2 linked regions of the Schizosaccharomyces pombe genome follow. Changing the gene in region 1 together with any one later gene gives a genetic interaction. Each region holds a gene or a part of one and is shown on either strand. Other genes may lie near its edges. The genes, in order: pho842 and pqr1.

The links.
Region 2: of pho842 (region 1) and pqr1, a mutation in one rescues a mutant of the other (synthetic rescue), as found in Schizosaccharomyces pombe (one study listed by BioGRID).

What each region holds. Positions count from the first base shown.
Region 1 is NC_003424.3:4,357,654-4,370,393, reverse strand, and holds pho842 (inorganic phosphate transporter), read right to left. Parts: upstream 7,927-12,740; 5' UTR 7,494-7,926; coding exon 5,814-7,493; 3' UTR 5,269-5,813; downstream 1-5,268. Other genes in the region: SPOM_SPAC23D3.13C (guanyl-nucleotide exchange factor), read left to right, coding at 1-2,687; SPOM_SPAC23D3.17 (uncharacterized protein), read left to right, coding at 3,526-3,624, 3,701-3,783, 3,831-3,885; Ragulator-Rag complex subunit Lam4, read right to left, coding at 4,231-4,385, 4,550-4,605, 4,660-4,694; ayr1 (1-acyldihydroxyacetone phosphate reductase), read right to left, coding at 10,655-11,545; cell wall and ascospore endo-1,3-beta-glucanase Eng2, read left to right, coding at 12,571-12,740.
Region 2 is NC_003424.3:2,420,423-2,432,959, forward strand, and holds pqr1 (ubiquitin-protein ligase E3), read right to left. Parts: upstream 3,405-12,537; 5' UTR 2,782-3,404; coding exon 1,369-2,781; 3' UTR 1,024-1,368; downstream 1-1,023. Other genes in the region: protein Rrg9, read right to left, coding at 66-419; epr1 (ATPase co-chaperone protein), read left to right, coding at 5,769-5,857, 5,992-7,045; ribosome assembly protein Rsa3, read right to left, coding at 7,111-7,353; tRNA m(1)G methyltransferase Trm10, read left to right, coding at 7,598-8,512; DNA primase catalytic subunit Spp1, read right to left, coding at 8,747-10,037, 10,122-10,195; drc1 (DNA replication preinitiation complex assembly protein), read left to right, coding at 10,576-10,705, 10,762-11,394, 11,435-11,685.

The sequences.
Region 1 (12,740 bases):
CCTCATCAAGTGTTCATCCTATTCAGACCTTAACTGCTCCTCGGCAATCGTTTAATGAAGATTTACTTTCAGCGAACACCAAAAATTCAGTTTATAAGACTTCTGCTAATCGGTCTATATCAGGAGGCATTCGTTTACTGAGAAAAAGTTCTGAGGTGTTTTATTCTTTTTCTATTTTAGAAACGGTTTGCTCCTGTAATTTGGATAGATTTCTTGATTCTAAGCTTGATCACTCTGGATGGTCATTGATATCGAAGTCTCTTAGCGAAGTTTTTAAGATCATTAATGTTGCACCAGAACTTCGTACCCGTGCTGCTAATTGCCTTGCTAATATATTGGTTGACGTTGCTTCTAGATTATCGAACGAAAATTCTCCAGATAGTTACGCATTTCAAGAAATATTTTTTGAATCTCTTGGCATGCTTTTACCTGTTACTGAGGTTTCTGATAATACCAGTAGAGGTGTTGAGTATGATATATCAACCATTGGATTGGAAGCTTTGGTTTCAATTTTGGAGACTGTTGGCCATCACGTCCTTCATGGATGGCAGTACGTGTTTGAAATGTTGAGATTTAACTGTTTAAACGGTGCCACTTGTTTTGGGAGTGAAAAGGGTGCGAAAATTGTGAGGCTTGCTTTCTCTTGCCTTCAATTAATATGTACTGACTTTTTGGCTTCACTTGACACAAGCAACTATTTAGATCTCATGGACACCTTGCTCGTATTTTGTAGGCAACTTGAAGACGCCAATGTGTCTCTGACAGCCGTTGGGTTGTTTTGGAATGTCTCTGATACATTGAAAAACATGTTCAGTACGTCAGACTTTTCTTGTGCATATAATTCAGTTGAAGACCTATACGCCTTTACTTCAATGAAATCGAAAGAGATTCTTCCAGAAGTACTTTGGATTATGCTTCTAGTGCATCTTGCCGATCTTTGCGAAAACTCATGGGCAAGTGTTCGAAATGGTGCAGCACAAATTTTGTTTCGTATTTTCAATTCTCAGTGTTCTAAGCTTGGAACGAATGCGTGGGCGTCTTGTTGTCAGCTGGTTATTATGAAATTACTTCACTCACAACCCATTCAAAATGTTAGTGATGTCAATAATAAAAAAGATGAAGATGATCATGAACAAACTAGTTGTCTCATTATCTCAGGAATTGCCGATGTCTTTTCTGAAAACATGAGCCTACTCTTGAATGTCAATGGCATTTTGGATGTTTTGGAAGAGGCCTTTCAATTGATGCTAAGGTTACATTCTGACATATATCCTAAGATATGTATTAGTAATTTTAAAGCCCTCAGGGAGCTTTCTTTTTCCATCTCAGAATTTGGAAAGGAAAATGCAACTTTTACGCTTTTAATTAAACTGGTATTTATAAATTGGGGCAGATTCTGTGAAGTTTCATTTTCCGAAAGAAGACTGGCAAATATATCTCAGGAGGGTTTAACTTTACTGATTGAGTCTGTTGTATTTTTATTGAAAGCTTACAACTTTGGTATTGAAGAAATTAAGGATTCATTGCTTCAAGTACGCAAGGCTGTATTCTATGAAGAAAGTACTTCTTTCGCGTTAGATGTCGATTTTCTTTCTTCTTTACAGCTTGCCGTTGAATCGCTTACAGACTTATTGATAAGCAAATTTAAATTAAACCATTTGGTATTAGAATTATGGTCCGATGTCTTAACTTATGCTTTCAACGAAGAGAAAACAATTAGAGCATCTCTTCCTACCTTAATTTGCCTGTCCAAAAAAATATTTGAAAACGCGGAAAATGTTGTCGAAAATCATTCTTTAGATTTTTTAAATCGCGGGACCATGCAACATATGTTCGAGTCATTACTTGTACCAATGCGACTCAAGTATCGTTGTCCGAAAGCTAGTCGCGTTAACCAGTCAACATTACCTATATGGGTACTTGCATCAAAGTGTTTTGTGAGACTAATGATTAATTGTTTCAAGGATCTTAAGGGCAGTGATGCTATTGAGGATGCTGAAAAGATGCAGTGTCTATTTCTACTTACAGTAGAAGCTACAAATTCTATAATTTCTCCTAATGCTGATTATGAGTATGTTTGGAGCCTAGAAGATGTTTTTGAAAATGAGGATGTTTCGTCTTTGAAACAATTACATAATTTGTGGAAACCGCATTTGCAATTAAACTGTTTATCTGATGAAGTTGCCCAATATTATATTACTCTTTGTAAAGGGTCGTTTTACTATCAAATGCGAAATACAGAGGATATGGTCATCTCTAGAAGTAATTTGGATATACAAAAGGAAGCAGCTCGAAACTTCTTTCCATCTACCGAATCCCCTGTTTCTAATCGAAGGCAACGAATAGCTGTAGATTGTTTCTCGATACTTTTGGATGATTACAATTCATCTTATGAACATGTTAGCCTAACTATTCGTCCCATTCTGCAAAGCCGCTTATGCTGGTCTTTGAAACGTTATGTAGCAGATAAGTCAGTGAGCGGATATTTACCATTAAGCAAGTCTCAGGAAATGGACATGTCTACAGTCGCTGAATGTTTGAATAATCACCCTTCATTATACTCAAATCCTATTCATTATTTATTAAGAAAAGCATATCATACGACTAATGCATCTCCGGTTGCGACTTCACTCAATGCAATTCTCGGACAACTCACATTGAAAAATGAGGTGTTGAACGCAATTTAATTATGGAAATCTAATTAATTCCTAACTGTTTTATTTTTAGAAGGATATCAATTATATAGACGTTAGCGAAGAATACTATTCATAGGAAGATAAAATAGAATATAAATTGCCATATTAGCAATATCTTAGAATTACAGTACCAAAAGGAAATCTCTAGGAATCTATTCTATATATGAAAATTTGCAACCACTACGATTGAGACTTATGGGAGTCAGCATTTTTGCGTTACTAATATTCAATTGAGTTTATTTTAAACATAATAAAAAATTCGATTGGATGCTTGAAATAATATTGATTTCTCATAATCTCGTTTATTATTCATTTATAACGCCGGCTAGAAACAGTTTAAACCAAGATTGCATTATCGATAAGGTAGGCTCCTATCATCTGCATGAATCGACCATGTAGAGCCATATTTTCATAAATAGTGTATGCTACACTCCATACTCAACCATCTTTCCTGCTTCGCCTGTTCCTGTACCTACTTTGTAAGATGCATCGTATCCTTTGGTGCGTAACATACTGAGTCAGTAAATGAAAACAGGTATAGTAGTTTAGTGAAATCAAACATATTCTCAGTTGGTAGATGGAGTAAAAGGAAAGGTTGCATGAGGTAACTGCTGGCAAATAAGTTAATCACTTGTACTTTATATAATTAGCAAAGCATTATTAGATGGATACTTAGTCTCACTGTATTTACCCATAGCACCATACCAAAACAGTGTATATCCGTAGGTCGAGCATTCGCTTATTACAAATTTAGTAATTTTACACTGAGACTTTAATCAATTGACTCTTTACCATTCAATTAGCCCGTATTGGTACATATTTGAAAACGATGAATCCATCACGCAACCCAGGACATGGCGATAAACCTTTTGAAGAGCGTAAGCTAGTAGGAAAATATATTTTCCCAAATAAAGATGATCCTCGAGCGGTATGCATTAAATTAGATGTTCATAGTTGTTGTTTTTTTATATTCTTTCGTTACAACTAACTCAAAATTTCGACAGACTGTCGAGGAAAGCGAACTCCCAAAAAGCTACCGAGTATTACAACCCAATTCTTTCTGTACCAGGGACTTTATGCCAGATAGGTATGTCTTACTAAATGTGAAATAGCACTAACAGGCTCCGTAAATAGGGTGAATTTCCATACTGATTCCAATGGTAAAATTACCCATGTAACTAAAGGTTAGATACTAAATGCTTAAGAGAAGATTATTTGTCTTTACAACTGATCAGTCTGATACCGAAGGTAACTATAAAGCTTATAATGATATATTACAAATTTGAAAATATATATAGCATGGTACTTTCTAATATATAACAATGCAAACAAGACATGGAGCCTCCAAAAGATAGAGAATAAGGCCATAGCGGATTAACAATTTACTAAAAAAGCGAAAGCATGAATTCACAACTAAAAAAAAAATTATAAAAAAAGGAGCAGAAAAAGATATTAGCAAACGCCAGCGAAACCATTAATTCTATTAAGGGCAAGTTTTTAAAGATAGAAAGATGTTACATTAAATTGAACACCCTTATGTATTTCGATAAATTAATCCTAGAACACATGATTCTTTAGTTGCAATTAAGATCTTCGTATTGCTGTCATGTAGATGCAAGACTTCAGAAACGGCATTGCTGTTCCATTCGCAGATGACACGCTGTTCTTCTGCATTCACATCTCCGGCTGCTTTAGTAAAAGTTAGCAAAGTGTTAAGTCACTTAATAAAGAGAGATTGAATGATATGTGTCAACTGATTCATAAATCACTCAAAAACAAAAGCATTGAGAATTAAACAAAGACTTATGAATATACAATATGTGTATTTTTTTTATTTTTTAGATTTTACATACTTGCAATTGGGAGTCCATTCCTGACTAACATTGCTCCACGATAAGTTTCATTCACGCTACAGCAATTCTTGTTAATTTAAAGACACTGAGTATCTACGAGCTAAACGTACCATTTAAGAAGATTTTCAGAAAGCTGTGAATCCATTGTTCTTACTTAAGTCTTGATTTACAGTGGACGTCTAACAGTTTAGCAGATTCACCGTACGAAGTCATTCTCTCATAATTGTAGCACTAACAATGAATTCAGTTGGGATAAAATAAAGAAGCGCACCGTATTTCTTTTAAAAGTGATATTACGTTCTACTTTTCTCAATGGATCGATCTTTAAAACTCGCTAAATGAATATGGAACAACAACGCATTCCAAAGAATTTAAACGTAAACAAACACTTGAATTACAGGGCTACAATTGACAAGTTTATTTCGAGAGTTAAAAGATTATTCGTTTGATTAATGATCACAAATTTAAATTTTTTTAAATATATTATCTCCGGCTAAATTAGTGTGAATTGACAAACTACCTCGTCTTTTTTTTTTACCTGCGAAGGAAATAAATTAAATAAATATTAGCACATAAAATTTGTCTGCAGCAATCATGTTGTTAAAAAAAACTTTTTAATATTATTGATTTCTTAAGTTTAAAAAGGATCCAACCATTAAATAATTTTACAAGCAAACTAATAAATATTTGTAATATGTAAACAATTGCGCTAATAGCTAGCATTAATAAATCACAAATTTTCATTAAAATAAATTAAATCATAAATAACAAATTTCAATATTAAAATTTTTATTAATTAAATTAAATTATATAAATATTAAAGGAACCTTGTAAAAATATACTGTCAAGGTTATTCAGTTAGCGATTCCAAAAAGCGCACATGATGATTCCCGGATAGAAAAAGAATTAAAATTAAATTAAAAAAAGGAAAGAGTAAAAGTAAAAAATATGCGAGCTTTTGAGCGCTGAAATCGTCTTAATAATGGGTGAAAGAATTTATTTTTCTTTTAACAAAACTGAAATGGAAATGGCACGATACACGTATTCATTCAGCTTTATCAACGGTAAGAAAACGAAAAAAAAAAGAAAAAAGAAAAACAATCCGACAGCAAAACATTATTAACATTGACTGCAAATCATCAACAAAAATTAACTTTAAAAACTCAATTTCTACAAAAATCCAGAAATGATTTTATATGCAAAAAAAGTTATCTTTTTAACAAAAAAGAATTTTAATAATAAAAAATTAAGTAAATGATATAATTTAGAAAATTCCGTTGAAATACCAAGACCAGCGGCCCTGGTGAGTTTTACCATTACCACCGCGCAAAACTTCTTCGCGATCAATTTCATCGGCATCCCGCATCTTGGTTTCAGGGAGAAGCAAAGTGAAAAAGATTGCTCCCCACATGCAGCCGCAGAAAATCCACATGACATTGCCATAGCCAATTACAGATGTTAAGAAGTTAAACAACAGAGAAGCCAAGATGGCACCGCATTTACCCAAAGCAGCAGAAAGACCATGAGCGGTACCACGAACACGTGCAGGAAAAACTTCAGCAGGATACAAAAAAGTAGTGGCATTGGGTCCAAAATTAGAGAAAAATTGGGCAATGACAAAACATGCAAATCTTCCACCCGTAGAAATGGTGTCCCAACTACCTGCAAGGATGGCAAACATTAAACCGGTAATAAACAATCCTTGAAGTTGGATCCATTTACGGCCAAGTTTCTCAACGAGGAAAACTGTAAACCAATAACCAGGAACATAACCAGCAATTGCAATGATGAGATTACCGATAGCACCACGCATAAGTGTGTGATACTCATTCTTTCCCGAACTAAAGCCAATGGCCTTTAAAATGACGGATTGATTGAGATTAACACCGTAAAAGGCAATATCGAGTAGGAACCAGGACACGGCAGTAGCCAAGAGATGCTTGAAATGGTGCCATTGACTGAAATATTCGATAAATCCACTGGTATTCTCAGAAGTTGGAACAGTGGATGCACGTTTATCTCCAAAATCCTCTGTAGAAGTAGGGTGAGAGTCCGAGGAGGTGGTCAAATTAATTTGCTTTTCTTCAACAACGTTTTGGTTATCTTTCTTCGGTTCGTCGTCGTCAGCAATGTAGGTATCGTTGTCGGTATACTTGTTGAGAGCTTTCGACTGTTCATAGGACTTGGATTCCTTCATAGTGAGACGTGGAATCAAAACGAGGAGGGCAGGAACCAAAGCCAAACCCATTTGAAGACGCCATACACCTTCAAGCTTAGTGTACTCGCCACGTTGGTTGAGAGGCTTCTCAAAGCAGGCCAAGAGGATGATAGTGACGATGGCGCCGGCCAGAGTACCAAAGCCTTGAAAGGAGAAGACGATGGAGAGAAGGGTACCACGACGACTAAGCAAAGAGCGTTCTGATGTGATTGTTGCGGACATAGGATAGTCACCACCAATTCCTAAACCCAGCAACCAACGCCAAGCAAAGATCCACATCATTTTACCAAGAGGAGTAGGTATACTTTTGGGAAGGGCGATGACAAGGACGGTAGCAATAATAACGACGATCATCTCTTTACCGTAGACAAATTTACGACCAAAGAAATCGCCCATGAAGCCAAACAAGATTTGACCAAAGACATTTCCAATGTTAGCGGCAGCGTTGACAAGACCATGGATACCGGAAGGGTAGTGAGGCTTTTTGCCCTCCAAACCGCCCCAGTATAAATATTCGTAAATGGGGGAGACGAGATTAATGATGAACAAGTCATAAGAATCGAGGAAGAAACCGGCACCAGCAAAGCCCATGAGCTTGAATTCTCGTTTAGTCAAACCAAGCCAATGGCGACGAGTATCGGACTCGGCGACATCAGCCAAGGAAACTTCGTTGTTTTCATTGGAGTTTTTGGAGTGAGATTTTGAAAAAGGATTTAAGCGATTCATAGTGTAGTGAATAGATTGTTTAACAGGAATGCAAATCAAGGAATTGAGTTGAATTGGGGAGAAAAGTTTTTCAACAACTGCAATAAGAAAAAAATTATATATAGAAAAAGGGAAATCCTGCAAAGAGAAAGAATGTACAGATTAAATGGAAGGTTTTTGAAACAATTCGGTCAAGATTTGTAGAATTTAGAAAAGAAAAACAGATTTCAAAAAGGAAAAGAAAAAAAAAAGGAGAAAGAGAAAAATAAAAAGAATTATTCGAAGTCAGTGAGTTCTCCAACAAAAAATGTAATAACTAAAGCGACAATTGCCTTCAAAAAAGGAGAGAAAGAAATTGAGAATGGGATGAAATGCAATTTCGAATCAAGTCGAATTTATTTTTATGGATGAATTGACTGCCTATATAGCGAAAGCAGCAAACTGGTGAAAGCACGCTGAGACAAACGGCAGAGGCAATACTTATATAGGAAGAAATAATAAGTGTTTTTGCCTGAAGATGCTTAGGCGCTTGTTACAGTTGATTTTCAAAGACCGACTCAATGTAACATATTAGTCATTTAACATTCACCAATTATTACGTCGAAAATGGCACACTTGACAATCATCCAAAAAGCGCACTTTCGCCACGGAGTCGCAGCGCAAAAGCGGTAAACAAACACTCGATCCATTGGTCCAAAGCTACCAAACTATAAATTATATCTCTCAATGTTAAATAGGCCGACGAAAAAGATAAAAGTTAAATCTGTTTAACGACGATGTCCATACTTTGTTATTTCGAGATGGATGTTTTGAACAAGGCTATATGGAACAAAAGTAGATGCAAAGATTGGAGTGAGTAAGGTGGGTCGTCGCTGGAGATTATGGTATGTCGGCTGCAGCTAAAAAAAAAATAAATAAAAAAAGAAAAAAAGAAACCCCAAAAAAAAAAAAGATGAAAGCAATTGTGTAGCAAAAAAGTGTTGGAAATATTGTAGCATTCCAACATTCACAAAGGTTTCTTTTGGTCTTTTGTTTTCTTCTAGATGTCAAACTGTAACAACAACAAAAAAGCTACTCATGACTTCCCCACAAGCCATATGCCGCATACATACTCCGCTTGCCTTGCGCCATAAAATGTTTTGACTTTAACATTGAGTAACAAGGCAGAGCGATATGAGATGAACACCGTTTTGTACGAAATTGGACGGTTTGCCCCAAAATTTCTGCATACTTGACCAATCCACAATGTGGGATGGACAGCGCATCCTGCACTTCAAAGCAAATCTGTAATAAACGTTGAATATGCGAAGAAATGTGAAAAACTATGAGAAGGGAATACAGAAGCTTTGAGTAAGACTCCGACTTGGGAGATTAAAAATTTCCATCCATACACACCTTGGGGAACGGGACTTGGGGATCAGTACCAATTCCAACGCTAGTTAAAAAAACAACAACTGGGGAAACGGGGTCAACTGCGACAAAGGGATTTCGGTTAAAAAAATTGAAAGGGGGAAATCGAAAGGGGAATCGGTAGGAAGGCACATCTCTAACATTTCATAGTGAAATTTGTCGAGTTTGAGTATGTTTAAAATTTTTTTTAATCATATGCCGAGAAAGAAATTATGTCATTTGTTGAGGTGAAACAACCTGCATCTATCGATGATCAGGCAACGTTTTTCTACGATTTCTAATGTTTTCTGGTTTGTAACAAATGTTAATATTGCCTATCACCCAACATGATGATAAGTTACATAGTAAATCACATGTTTGCTTTACTTTTCGCTGTTTCAAAGTTGAACTACGATGCATCCATATTAGTAGCGCAACTCAATATAAGCCAGCTGGTCAATGTGCTCCATCGTTAATTGATGTACAAATCGGAAACAAAGATAAGAATACCATTTATAAGGGTAAATACATTTATTTGACAAGGTAAACAGATTCGGCGGGACATACATTCGACAGAGAAACATGTTTGAAAGGAAAAATCAGGAAAGATGTAAAATAATTGCCTCAACAGCTACATGTGTGTGGTTTTGCAAACGTAAAGGAGAATCCATACAGTTTTTTTAATTATAAGTGAGTGAACTATTGAAGGGCAGATTGACTGCATTGGATGTCTGTTGCAAAAACATTTAACAGATAAGCTAAGCTATACAATATAACAAGGCCTGACTTGGCTTTCTTTTTGGATAGACAACTAGATTATGTGGGGGCAACATAGGCTTTTTACTTTTCTGTCTTTACTACAACATTTAAACAGAAAAAGTACTAAGTGGGGGACATTTAACCAGAGAGTAGCAATTTAAAGTACAGCTGAGAAAGGTGGGAGTCATGTCCCTGTATCCCACTGCACCTTGTTGCACTAGCAAAAGGCGCTGCTTAGAACAATTTTCTGGTTAAAAAAAAAAAAGCGATACTTTTACAAAACATTTAGCGTTAAACAAAATGAAATTTCACCAACAAATATAAATCTCTTCGAATGTACATGGACATTGTGCTACGAATTGGTAGCATCGCTCACTTACTTACTCATTCACCCTGTCGCTGCTCAATAAATAACGCGGAGTGAAATGGCTTTTGTACGATAGCTTTTCTCACAGTAATCCTGGTAGTGATTTTATTTCGTTATTGTGTTTCACATAGTATGCGTTTAGGTGAATCTCCCACAGTGTCTTAGCCCTCATTATTTGGTAAACAAATAGAAGTAAAAATTAAAGGAAAAGTATTTTATGAATAGAGGTTTATAGCAATTCAGCTATCTTATCGGCCGAAAATACGTACGTTGTTCGAGGAAATTAACAATTTTAAATTTCTTTCCTAGTTTTATCCACATGTTAATGAATTGTTGTACACTGTCATTGCACAAATCACTTGCATACTAGCTGCGCGCATGTCAAAAATATATTTAAAAGATGTTGTCCTAATATTGGATGTTCTCTGAATATCTAATGAATAAAAAAAAAGTTACTTCTTTTTTGTCTTACTTACATTTTCATTGCATCCGTTTTAATGTCATCTTTCTTTCCTAAACTCGACAATACTTTCTTCCATTTCATTTGCTTTATAAAAAAAAGTGTGACATTAAATTACAAAAAAATACATGCAACGATTTCAAAATTGATTCCAATGCCAATGTTCCAAAAAGAGAAACACATATCAGACTGCTATCAACACTGAAATTAATCAACAGTGTGGTCTCTCCATACAGCGGTTGACGGCAGTTTTACGATTAACCGTACAGACATAGAAAACACCTCGACCGGAAGCATCGAGCCAACCCTACCAGCACTGCTCATGTAACCCGCCCAAATTTGTGCAGGGCGTACACCTGGTTTGAATAATTGATACCACCTTCCACGGCCTACCAACTGAGGGTATGCAGCGTCTGCAAATTCCTCAATCGTAACAAACTTTTCTACGGGATTTCTGTTTTCCAATATTAGTTTTCTGTATGGATAGTAAATTGAATTTTCTGGAATAGCGGCTTCTGTCATAGTGCCAAGAGGCTTGCTTTGAATTTTGGTTTGCACACCGCCCGTCATAATACTAGTCACTTGGACTCCAAAGGGGGCCAGTTCTATACGCAGCGTGTTGGAATATGCCAACAAGGCAGCCTTTGAGGCGTTGTATGCTGCATTAAAGGCAAAGGGAACATAAGAGACGAGTGAATTGACGTTCACAATTGTTCCTTTAGCACGTATAAGTTGATGTTGAAACGCCTTGTTCATTCGAATTACCCCATAAAAGTTAACATCCATGACTTTACTGACATCTTCGATATCCAGGTCAATGGCTGGTGCACTACAGGGAGCTCCTGCATTGTTGATTAAATAATGAAGGGAGCCGTTGGTAAACTTGCGCACCTCTTGCTCAACCTCTCGTACCGAATCTTCATCCGTAACGTCGAGTTTTAATGTTTGAAGGCCAGCTTTTGTCAGGTTATCCATACGTTCCACCTGCCTCGCTGTTGCTAAGACTTGAAAACCCTCTTGATGAAACTTCAAGGCCAACGCATTTCCAATGCCTCCTTCACTACACCCTGTAATTAGTACAAACTTCTCAGCTTCCATAATAAATTTCTCTATCAAAATTTCCTACTACTTGGTTAAGAAAGAAACCACTTTTGAAATAGATCTTGCTAGTCGCTACAACTTTCAAGTACGTCACATTTATTAAGCACTCTCACTCTTTCCGCCGTCATGAATAATAAGCTTGAAATTCAAATGTTCCATACAGTTTGTAGGATAGTTTACAAAAAAGAAACAAGAACGAGAATGAATGAAAGAGTTTTGTTGTTGAATGGTGTTTTAATGAAATTTTGGCATTAACTGTGTTTAGAGCTTATAATCAGTGTTTGCGATCATTTTTTTTAAGCTTGCTTTTCATTTATCCTTCTTTTTATTTATTTTTATTTTTCTTTTCATTTACATTGGCTTTTTCTTTTTTTTATTTGTTTTCCAATTATTTACTATTGTTTGGCATTACTAAAAAATGTTTTGCTTACAATATCGCATTAAATTAAATCAAACAAAAACTTGCAGTATGTAAAATCAATAAATAAATATACAAAGGTTTATGCAGTATTTGCATTAATCTATTAAGTTACTTGTAAAGTTTTAATATGTTTCTTTTGTTTTTTGTTTAGATCTAATATTATAGCTTAGTCGTTGAACCAATGATACCATGAGATGGGGTTTATATCAGTTTTGAGTAGAATTTGCAACCTGTCCTCACCCTCTATCGGGTTTTAATAGTGAAAGTAATAACTACTGTTTTTAACAGTTTTTCTTCAGTACTTTTGCGTGAATTCATAAATATTTTAGGACCGGTGAATTTCTCAGCGCAGTGCTTTTATCCGTCTTTACTGTTACTTTCGCTAAGTTATTTAAGACAAATAATTGAGTGTTGTTTCATTTTTTAGTTAGTTCCAAATTTTTGAGGTGGCATACTCCTAAAACTCTCGTTAGTGTAAAACCCGTCATCGACAGTTCGAAAAAGCATCCGAAATTAGACTTTTAGAAATTTTGCTTCGATCCTTTCTTATTCTTTCACTCGTTATCAAATTTTTTTGCTCAATTCATAGTCAGACGACATAATGGATGTTTTAGTACCAATCTATACTGGACCTATCAATCCGGTTTTTCCATCAAGAGCACACCCATCTCCTCCTCTTGGGCTAACAAGTAATTTGTTTCCAATTCAAACAAACAAGTTTTATGGTAACTTGTACATTGGCACCCGTCATAATCCATCATGGTCACATCC
Region 2 (12,537 bases), 1.9 Mb from region 1:
ATAAACAATTGATTCCAACATTACAGATCGAATTATTTCAAGGCAACTCAAAAAAGTATATAAATCTATGCAAAATCACGATTACTTTTAAGACTATTCAACCAACGTTTTTCTTTACGAGATTTCTCCCGATCGTCTAATGGTCTATTAGAGGATTTCAAAATTCGGCGAATACTTTCAGGTGAAACTCCATATAGTTTTGCCAATTCTGAACATGACATAGATGATTTTTCTTTCTTTAGACGCCGAATTTCGTCCATAGATTCTAAAGGAAGTTTCTTTTTTGGATTCCAATAGCCTCCAATTTTTCGTTTGACCGCTATGTTCTGCTTTTTCCACTCTATAGAGGCTTTGTTTGAAGCTTTGAAGGTAGAGCTTAAACGGCGAAAAATCAGAGTAGTATAGTTGAATATATTCATCAAAAAAATCCAAACGTTTCCTTTTTTCAGTCTATGTGACCTTTAAGTAATGACACTATATATTCCATTACCACTTAGAATATTTAGTAGCTGGTGAAGTATAATTACTTCCACTTATAACAAAAAAGTACAACGCTCAAAACTACTCCGATATTAGGTTGAGTTAGTAATAGTTGTAAACAGCCTTAAATTACTCCGCGAAATACTCGGATTTAAACGTTGTCAAATATCTTAAATCTTGTTCATTCGGAGTTTTCAGTGAAATCGTGGCAAAGGACTTCTTGATGCTCCGGTAAAGTCGGTTTTAGAAAGCAAAAAACAGCTTTTGCTAGTGTTCCAAACACAAAAACTACTACCCATAGCACAATTATTCATTAAAATCTGTGAAGAGAGACATATTAAACACTGTAAGTGGGTAACTTAGGAATTGAGATAAAAGCATTGTTTTTCGGACTATCAATGTTTAGTTGCTGAAAGTTACGTTAAGTTTACAAATACATCAGAGGTTGACTACAAGAACTTCCGAATAATATGAATAATGAGTTCAAATTTGGTAAATTTAAGTTACGAATACGATTTCCTAAAACATTACACAGCTTTTGTAAGCTAAAATTCTATAAATGTCTATTGTCTATGTTGATTTTTAAAAAATATGTTCGGTTTAGTAAAGATTAATGGTATGTGATGAGCAAGTATTATGTACAAGCATTTAAAAAAGCTAAATATAAGAAAAAACCGAGAATTATAAGCAAACGTTTATAACAAAGAAACACACGAAAATGCTATTTACAGCAATAAAAGTTAGGTGAGGAAAGAAAAATAGAAAGTTAGTATGCAAATTAGGCAAGGAAAACATAAAAAAACAGATAATCAAATATAGTGAGTAAAAAATAGTCCTGAGCCTTTAAGAGAGGGTTGGGAATTTAGCGGAAACAAATCCGTCGTCTATCTACATTATCACACAATTGTTCTGACCTGATACAACAGAAATTGAAGAAGGAGTAAACGTATCGTTCTCATTTTCTTCAAACTTTTCCTTAATCTCTCTTGGGAAATATGTTTTCATAAAATTCATCAAGGCGTGATCAATATTGCGAGAATCGGCTTTCATAACTTCTTTGGCACGACACAACGGACAGAAATCAACTTTCTGTTTCTGAAGAATGATAAGGCAATGCAAACAAAAAACATGGGAACAACCTAATCTCACCGGCTTGTAAGCAACGTTAGAGCATATAGCGCATTCAAAATCCCTCAGTTGAGGAATAATCGAGAATAGCTTAGAAGAGAGTGAAAAGCATATAGCTTTAGAAGCATTGTCGACCAAAAGAAGAGGGTCTGATTCGATAACTTGAAAAAATAGAGGTTGAGCGGTTAAGGATGTCCGCTTATCAAACTTTTTCATGATCTTCGTAACGGCTAACTTATTCATTTGCTGAAAAGAAGCAACTTTCAACAAACTTTCATTAAGTTCAAGAAACTTAGCATACAAAATACGATCACGATGCTTTGAGGAAGAGGGAAGACATTTTGCTAGCCTGACCTGATCGTCAAACCATTTCAAATGGCGCTCAGCGAGCTCGGGAGTGCGTTCATGACTCTGATCAGCTTCCTTGCAAGAAATAAATATATCGGAATCCATATAAATTTCGAAAATTTTTCTCCAGCAATAAAGAGATTTGTATTTCTTTTTGGAATTAGGGGAAGCTATAAGAGATATTTCATGACTCAGGATATCAATTGCGTTAAAAAGAATTTTACGCTGTTCACGCTGTAGTCCTTCAACACTTTGCAACTCCGAAGTTAATTTTTCAAAAAACTCGTGGTCACAGTTCAACGATATTTCCATACTTTGAACTTCGGACATGTCAGAACTCATAGTTTGAGTATCGATATCTTCATCAACCGTTTCACAAGTCTCTACGCTCTGAGATGATGCGGACACACTTGGTAACGTATTGGTAGGGGGCTGCTGAGTAGAATCCGAAGGAGTAGAAGGAACATTTGAGGCATAATTACTCCTGACGGTTGTAATCATATTTGATGCATTCAACTGCTTGAACATTGAAGCAGCGAACTTATCAGTTTTCAATTTATCAAAATTTACGTTGATAATAATTTTGGGGACAACAATGTGTCCCTCTTTGCCAAGGGAGTAACTAAGCGTAATAGCTTGTTGGGGATCCACGGTAGTCGGAGCCATCAATTTACTGATGGTCTCAGCACTTAGACCCAAGGAAGACAGCTCAAAAACGAACCTTTTAATACATTTTTTTAAGGCCTTGTACTGAATGGCAGCCTCGCCCCAACCAGGGGGCATATCGTTTTCGAGAGCCCTTTTAAAATCGTGTCCAAATTTCATATCGGAAGGACTTTTTTTCAATGAAAATGAAAGAGGATGAAACCTTTACAAAAGATTGAAATCAAAATATTTGAAAGGCGGTAAAACTACAGAATAAAAAACCAAAGCCCAAGAAGGAGAAAGCTTTGTGGTTTTTATAAAAATGAGTGCTCCGACCTTTGCAATCGAAGTATCGGAGTTAAGTATTTTCTTTATTACAAGCAGATGGAGAAAGAAAGCTTGCAAGATAGAGTTTCGCAGAGTTGAATTGCGTACGTTTTGATTAAAATATATATATATTAGTAATGGAATGAAGTGAAGAAAAAAGTAACAGCCCAAAGACCTAAAAGCTGCTTGTGATAAAACAACAAGCTACAATGGGACGAAATTAGATAGAATAGATAAATGGAATGGGAATGAAAATAAATAAAATGATTTTCTAATACCACGTTTCGAATCAACCGAAACCGTCGTTCGCAAACGGAGACCTGCCTGGCTTGATTCAACCAAAGGTACGTGAGTGTTTAAAATTGTAAAGAGATGCGTAACTCCTTAATACTTATACATATAGTAAATGAATTTTCGATACTATTTCAAAAGTTTTAACACTGTACTAATCGTCAAAATCCTTGTTGGTTCATGACAGGTGAAAATCCTTGCAGTCCTTTCGCATCCTTATATTGCACCGCGTTAGACGACGCAAGGTGGCAAACCAAAGCATTTCCCCCTGACGTCATAAAAAGAGCGGAGGAACTTGCGGTATAGGTAATACTACCCAACCGCACTCGGGTTCGCAATGTTATTAGTAAACGGCCTTCCGGTAAGCCTTACAGTAAAAGGAAAGGAAGCAGGGGCAATTGGAAGACCAGCAGTGGTACGAAATCTTCCTTAGCTTTATAGAATGAGGCTTGTGCTGATTGTCAACAATTTGCTGACAATGTGTGAAACGTACAGAGTTGGGTTGTTGAACAAATGTTCTGTAGCACTGTGCCAAAAGAGAAAAAATAAAAAAAAATAAAAAAAAAAGAGAGATAAAGGATAGTCGGTAAGAAGTTGAGCCTCTTTGTTTTCCTCTTTTTTGTATTGTTTTTAATTTTGTATGTATATGATAATAAGTAGGTATCTAATTATATTTGATTGATCCGATTAAACCGGACTATGACTGTAATAACCATTTTATTCACGATTAGTTAACGGTGTGCCACAAAAAACTAAAACAGATAAGGGCAAGTTTCGTATGGAATTATTGTACATTATCGTATTGAGTAAGTAGATAAACGTGTTTGATGACTATAGACATTAAAAGGATTATCGAGATTGTAAAATTTTGGTTTTTTTACAGATTAGAAAAAAAAAGAAAAAAAAAAAAAAAAGAGGAGAAGGACATGTTGCAAATCCGTGAGTCAATAAAACAATTCTGGAAGAAGCAATTTTTTAGTATTCACAATGTAAAGGAAAGGACGACAATTACAATTTCATTGAATAATCCCAAGCTATAGGAGAGACTTAAAACGAGTTTGAAATATTGAAGAATATAGAAGGATAAGAAAGTCGATTAGTATGAATTTTGAGATTCTATTAAAATATGAATAGCAGCAATTGTTAAACTATCAAAATTTTTCTTTTATTCATTATACAATGCTATTTACTTATTACGGTGAAAAACTAACACGTCAACCTCAAACAATTTAGGATTTAAACTTTCGCTTTCCAATCAAGTTTAGATTTTTATTTTCCCTAAAAGTAGTCTTCTCATTTGCACATGATTTTGTAATGCTAAGCTTGGGGTAAATGAAAGAGACCTCCCTTTTGTAAAAGAAATCTGCGTAATGCTTATAACATCGGGTCGTAATTGCTTGACTCAATAATGTAAACAAATTTTGTTAAAACTATTTGTCCCTTGAAGAGGCAGTGTTATATAGTCAGATTAGCAACACAATATATTAAAAACATCGAGGAAATTTGCATTAATAAATGCGAAATTTTCGTATTCTATATGAGCGAAACCTTAGCTAAATAGTATTGATTAACTCAGAAAAGACCAAGCATTCATAGCGAAATTAACATGAAAATTCGTGATAATAGCCTTGCTACATGAAGGCAAGAAGTTCGTTTGTTTTTAAGCAATGCAAGCATGGCATTATTATTAGCGCATTGGCTTCTTCTAAAAAACACAATCTTACATTTTAATTCGGTTGTGGAAAAATTTGATCTTTAGTTCAATGTCTTTTGTAAACTGATAATTTTAACTTCATTTTTTGGAAATGTGCATTTTGCTAATGCATATATAGCAGCAAGACCTTAAATAACAATATAAGTTTTCATGAGAACCATGTTTTCTTAATTAAGAAGACAGTAGTTTGTAAACTGTATTAAGATTATACATATATCAATATATGTTAATATATATATTTATTCATATATTCATTTTTTACAAAAGTGATTTTTCGGATTTCAAACTGTCTAAAGTTTGCATGTATAGAACACAAATTTATTTAGGGTTCAAATGATTTCGTACACAACTTTAACTTATGTTTCGCTTGTTGTATTTATTTACTTCAGCATTGGCGAGACGTGAGGGACCACACCATATTATGTATTTGCGGGTTTGTCAACACAGATTTAATTTACCCATAGCATATTACTTTATTTTTTAGCATTAACAGTATTTTGATTCGTTGTTTCTCGTCAATTCGCCTTTTTGTCTCTTTCTACATTTTTTGAAACACAGTTGGGAGCTATTGTCGCCGGTTTGTGAGAAAGATCACCATTTTACATAGAACGTACTGAAGGTATTGTATTTTGGCGATTGAACGGGCAACTCTCAATTTTTTTGCTTTTTTTGTATTTCAATTGTAGAATTGAATTGTTAGTTTATCACAAGCAATCTCAATTGCGGTTGATAATTCATTCCACTCCTCGGCCTTGGAATTTTGTCTTTGAAGCTACTTTATATAAGTCTTTTACTGGTTAACTTATGATTTTATGCAAATTATTTATCACCAATCATGAATAACCCTTTTAAGGATATGGATTGCTATGAAATCTTGCAAGTGAATCATGACTCTGACTTGCAAGAGATTAAAGCAAATTACCGGTATGAAAACTTGTTTTCAACTTAATCAATCAACATAGAATATAAATTTACAGCTTTTCGATCTGTGATTAAAACATAATCGTTTAAGTTGTGAAGAATTGATCGCCTTTGTGTATCTTTACTAATCATAACAGAAAATTAGCTTTGCAATATCATCCCGATAGAAATCCGGGCATTGAAGACTATAACGAAATATTTTCCCAAATAAACGCTGCATACAATATTCTCTCTAATGATGATAAACGAAAATGGCATGAAAAAGACTATCTAAGAAACCAATATTCTGTACAAATTGAAGACGTTTTGCAGCATCTACAAACAATTGAGAAAATCCCTTTTGAAAGCACCTCAGCGTTCGTTGAAAGACTGCGACAAGACGAAAAAATAGCGGGTTCCACAGACGACCTTCCAACTTTAGGGGACACAACTTGGCTTTGGACGTATGCCAAACCTATTTATCAAAAATGGCTAAGATTTTCAACGAAAAAATCTTTTGAATGGGAAGCTCTATATAATGAAGAAGAGGAAAGTGATGCAGCTACACGGCGATTAATGAAGAGACAAAATCAAAGGCAGATACAATACTGCATTCAGCGATATAACGAACTTGTCAGAGATTTAATAGGAAAAGCATGTGATCTTGATCCACGGAGAAAAAACGTTGTGAAACTAAGCGATGGAGAAAGATACAACTCCCTACAAGAAGCATCGCGAAAGCAAAGTGAACGTGATCGGCGTCAGTACCAGGAAACTTTTAAAAACCAATCAATTGCGTCTTGGACAATAATCGATCAGGAAGAAACATCCAGCGATGATGAATCTTTGAGCAAAGAAATTGTGAATTCAAATCCAATAATGTGTATGGTTTGTAACAAGAACTTTCGATCACAAAATCAATTGGAGAACCATGAAAACAGCAAAAAACATAAAAAAAATTTAAGGAAAATGAACCAAGAAATAAAAAAGCACGCAAAAGAAGCCCAGAAAAACGCGGAATCGAATAAACAACCCGAAGATGCTCCTAGCGAATCCCCATATTCGAACAAAGTTTCTTCCTCTGACTTCTATACGAGAAGTTTTGAGGAAATAGAAAAAACATTTACTTTTGTCGAAATCTCTGATAACGAGTTTTATACAGCATCCGAAGATGGTTTTTTGAACGAAGACGATAAGTTGGATCAAGATTAGCACCGCAAGCTTATCTTTTTTAATAGAATAATACAGGTCTGTTTTTTGCTAAGTTATATAAACCATTATTCATAAATTTTGTGACCAGCACGCAAACTTTCAATAAGCAATTGTAGTTTGTTATGATCAAAAATTTCCTTTTGCCTTAAATTGTCTAGCTCTTCTCCAAACTCTGAAGTAAGTTGTTCCATATATTCAGATAGTGATGGCTTTTCTGTTTCTTTTTTTGAAAATGTCTGAAACATAGGATTTTCAAGCATATTTGATACCGTCGATTTGTTATCGATTTTTTGATCGTTTGTTGCCATTTTTCAAAGCTTGTTTTGTCGAAGTTTGTAAATAATACAATTTTGCAAAATTTTTTTATTTTCGACTTCCTGAATCCCTTTATTACCCAAAGTTAATAATTGCGAGATTGGCGTAGTTACCAACTTTTTATACTTCACAACACTCTTACTTTTTCCATTAGATGAACAGCCTGGCTAGGTTCAAAATAACGATATAACTAGATAAATTTAGGCTATATTTTGACTGCAATAAAGTTGGGAAATTATGGAAAACAAAGACGCTTTAGATATTGGTAAAGATGACACAAATACTTCTGAAGCTGACGTTTCTAAAAATGAAACTCAAGAGCAACCCGTTCTTAGCAAATCTGCATTAAAAAGATTAAAAAGACAGCAAGAGTGGGATGCAGGTCGTGAAAAGCGAGCAGAGATGCGCCGGGAAAAAAAGCGATTACGAAAAGAGGAAAGAAAGCGAAAAATTGAAGCTGGCGAAGTAGTTAAAAGTCAAAAGAAGAGGATCAGACTAGGAAAGGTCGTTCCTAGTAGTATCCGAATTGTTTTGGATTGTGCATTTGATGATCTGATGAACGATAAAGAAATCAACTCTTTATGTCAACAGGTTACTAGATGTCATTCTGCAAATCGTACAGCTTTACATCCTGTAGAACTTTTTGCTACCAACTTTGGTGGACGTTTGAAAACCAGACAAGATTTTGTGCTAAAGGGGCAACAAAATAATTGGAAACGATACAACCCAACTACTAAGTCTTATTTAGAGGAATTTGAATCCCAAAAAGAAAAATTAGTATATCTTTCTGCTGATTCAGATAACACCATCACCGAACTCGATGAAGACAAGATTTATATTATTGGTGCGATTGTCGACAAGAATCGGTACAAAAATTTATGTCAAAATAAAGCGTCTGAGCAAGGGATCAAAACTGCAAAGCTTCCAATTGATGAATACATTAAAATTACGGATAGGAAAATACTTACGGTTAATCAGGTCTTTGAAATATTATCTCTTTGGTTAGAGTACAGAGATTGGGAAAAGGCATTCATGGAGGTCATTCCAAAAAGAAAGGGAATTTTGCTTAAAAGCGACGAATCGTTTGATGTTTCTGAGGATACTAGGTCTCAGTCAAATCAATCTGATAGTGAATTGGAAAAAGAAAATTAAATCGCTAGTTTAAAATCATACTAGTTATGCTTTTGATTTGTTTTGGTTTTTATTATTATAATGTATTTAGCAAAAAAGGATAAATAAAGAGGTATTAAAAAATATATTATTACTGTCGATTTAACGGAAAACAATATGCTCCACGTAAATAGAAGTCAGAGCTTCCATCCTTTCATGAGTAAATGTATGCCCAAATTTTTAGTTAAAGCTTGAATCGATTGTTGAAATACGATTTTAAAATTCCAAATTCTCATGTTTTCTTTTATTTCCTACTGTTTCTTTAAAAAGCTGGCTACTGAACGATTTAAAGTACAGCGTATAAGGATTGAGAGAAGTTGAAAAGCCATGCCCCTTGTTTGATTGTCCCCTAGCATTATCTTTTTGGTTTTCTGTTGTATTAGTTTCCATTGTTGGACCATGGCCGTTATCATTTTGGGAATTTTTATCCAACTCTTGCAAAAGATCATTCACAGTGGGTACTTTCAAAGGATTAAAAGAATCCATCCTCTCTATATCTATGGGAACACAAACACGACTAGTTCCGGGGTGGACGCAAAATGGAGATTTTAGCAAATGGTTTAAATGTCTAGAAACCTCAACATCCAATCTTGGATACAAATAGGTTAAAACAATGTCCTGCTTGGCAATCGCAATTACTGAAGGAGATATAGAGGCAATAGAACCAGATGCTAAGACAGTGTCAATGTCGGACCATTTATTTTTGCTAGATCGTTCAGGATCAACCTCCCATTTTTTACGAAGAGCAGATGCTAAATCCTTGTCTGGTAGTAATTTCAAAAGGTTTTCGGCTCCTTCTTTAGAAGCCCACGGATCTTGGTCTTCAAGGACAATTTTTACAAAGGCCGATTTGAGAATGTTGAGAGAACGAGTCAAATGTGGGTGAAGGGGTCTTTTTAAGTTATTAATAAGTCGTACGCCACCTTGAGGATTACCTACTACAACCTGTAAATAACTGGCAATCATTCTACGAGACCGATCGTCTAAAGAACAAGCAATTTCGTCACAAATCCAAGCGTGAATACCTCTTCGACCAGAGTATACCCACAATATGTGTTTAAATCCAAAGTCCTCATGAAAACAAATATCTAAAACTTGAACTGCGATCGTAATAAATGGCCAGCATTTTTCGCATATATTTGTTTTTGAGCAGCAGGTTCGTACATCATCGTAGTCAGTCATATCTATATCAAAAACGAGTTCCTTTTTAAGCGGATGAAATGTTGACTTCCTTATTGTTTTCCTGTCCCTGGGATTGGCACTATAAACGGGTCCAACTTCAAATCGGCTTGGGCATAAATTTAAAGCTTCCTTTTTTAACTCTTCCCAATTTGAAAAAGATAAATAACGAATATAAGCATCATTAGGAAGTGTGAACGCGAACTCCCGATGAGCAAAATCATTAGTGACTACCGGACCATGATTTAACCATTGAAATAAATATTTCCACGGAAAAAGATGGCGATAATATTGAATCATCGTCTCTGAATCCACAGCTCCCTGTTTACTATAAGAAAATTGTTAGAGAATTTTCATTATTTTAGAGGCTCAATCGAGTCCATAGTTAAGATTGTTCAGTATTCACACTTACGCGCCATCAAGTGTTCCGTTTGCAATTATCTCATCCAAATCTTTGTCGTCCAATTCATCGATTTGAACAGTCATATTGTAATAAGTTTAGCTAAAAACAAAGGTTATTTACATACAGCTCAACCATAAATCAAAAGGAAACGACAGCGTACTTAAACGTTATACGTTATTTAAATTTAAAAAACTGCTTAACGTATGCGTAAACATTCAGCAGTAAAATGGAGCATTCATTAGTGCATCTACTTTACTTTTAAAGCATAATTAACATTTCAACTTTGCATTTCGAGATACGTATCAAACTCTGTGCAATGGTATTTCTCCACATATAGAATTAGAAGAAATATATGTTTATGTAGATTAGCCTCTCTTTTTGTTTTGAGTTTGTTTTTGCAGTTGTTTGAATCGAACACTACAAAATTGAAATTGGGTCCAGGCAGTGCATTAATTGGCAAATCATGCACGATGAATCACGAACTAAACAAATATCTAGTATAAAAGCGCTCTTAAAGAAGTGGGAACATGAGTACGTCCATACGAACAATTGCAAACCTTCTAAGGAGGATGTGAAGAAACAACCAGAAATAGGTATGTAAGCCAAAGATACACTTGAATTTTTGAAGCAAACTAACGAACTTTTTTAGCGCTTTTATATAAGCAATACTACGAGTTGAAACGCGAATCCTCCATTACCCCTAAAAAAGCAAAAACAAAGGTCGACTTTAAGTTTCAAACTCCTACAAAACAGCGTGCTGAAACTGAAGCGAACGAGAGTCCTAAAGCGCCCCGAAATGATTATCTACAGGTTACTCCGAAAACTGTGGATAAAAGTCTTTTAGGTCCTACTCCACAGTTGTCACGTCGAGTACTTAACCTTCTTGAAGACATGTCTCCCATTGCAGATTCTCATGTGGATCAAATTTCGGATATAAAACATAACACTAGTGAAATTTCATCAACTATGATACCGACTACTCCATCAAAAAATCCCGAACCTGTGGCTCAACATACTCCCACCGTTCTTGAAACCCCCTCTTCATATCGCCTTCAAGTTTATACATCTCCTAACTTACTTCGAGTTAATGCGCCATGCCGAAAAAGTCTCAGTGAAATGCTTCGTGAGTTAAAAGATATTGAAGATGATTACGGATCAAATGAAGAGAAGATATTGCAGGAGTTTGAAAGCTTTAGTAGCTCATCTTCAGAAAGCCTTGTAGATAGAGACATATCACAACCTATGAAGAAAAAAATTAAACGACAAAATCGTCTTGTTAAATGTAAGGTTTTCTCCTGTTTGTACCTGAACTAACGTTTTAGTGCCCCCTTCAATGAATCTTTCCAAAAGTCATTTAGAAGGTCTTCCTGAAATAGACGAAGATGCGGAAAATGGCATTGACGACAATGAAGATACAACTGCTAGCAAAGATTCGTCACCATTTTTAGATCTGCAGAGTGAACGACAAAATAAAAAGATTATGAGAAACGGGCTTGTTATTGGAAAACAAGTAAGCCAGAATTATTCCTCTTACAAATTAAAAAAACGTAAATTTCGGCGTCACAGAAGCTAACATATAATTTGTCAATCGGAACTTTGCTGTTGTATTTAAAAAAACACATACTTTCTGATCTTCCTTAATAGGATATACACTTTTTCAATGAATGTTAAAGAGGTATATATATTTAATAAATCATGCATTCAATAAAACCTGGAAATAGATTTTGTGGGTTTTTGAGATTTAAATGAAATAATACATCATGAGTTTGTGGTATCCTGTTAAAAAAATTTTGGAAATATAAAAGTTTGAATGAATCATATATTTCTTGTTCTTAATCTTCGGGTAAAATCAAATTAGTTACTATCGAACGATAAACGTTTTATATTTTTACGTAGGCATTCGTCCAACATTAAATCTAAGACTGGAACGTTTTGATATACGAATATCATGAGGACGTAAGGAAAGAAGAAGTACAAAAAAAATCGAACCTTCAATATTGAAGCTGGCGAGAAAGACAAATAAAAAAACAGCTTCAAATAAGTTTGGATCTATTGAAATGAGGAATACATGAAAGCTGAATATCATCATTACTTTACATGGATTTGCATAGCTTATTCATCCTTAGGGGACAGCGATGCCAAATTTCCTCTTAACTAAATTTTTAGACAACCTAAACACCATACGTTGATGCTAAACTTCAAAACATGAATAGTCATTTCCAAATGTCATTTACAACTTAAGAAACCATGCTTTAAATAATAGATAGCTTATAAGATACAGGCAACAACTGTAATAGATTTTGGTCGCAACTCTTCAATTGTATTCAAAACATAGTTCAACCTACAATCAAGTTAACAAATCTTTTTAAAGACAAATAAAAGGGCTCTAGATAATCAGAATCCAAAAGAAGTGCATTGTGTAATT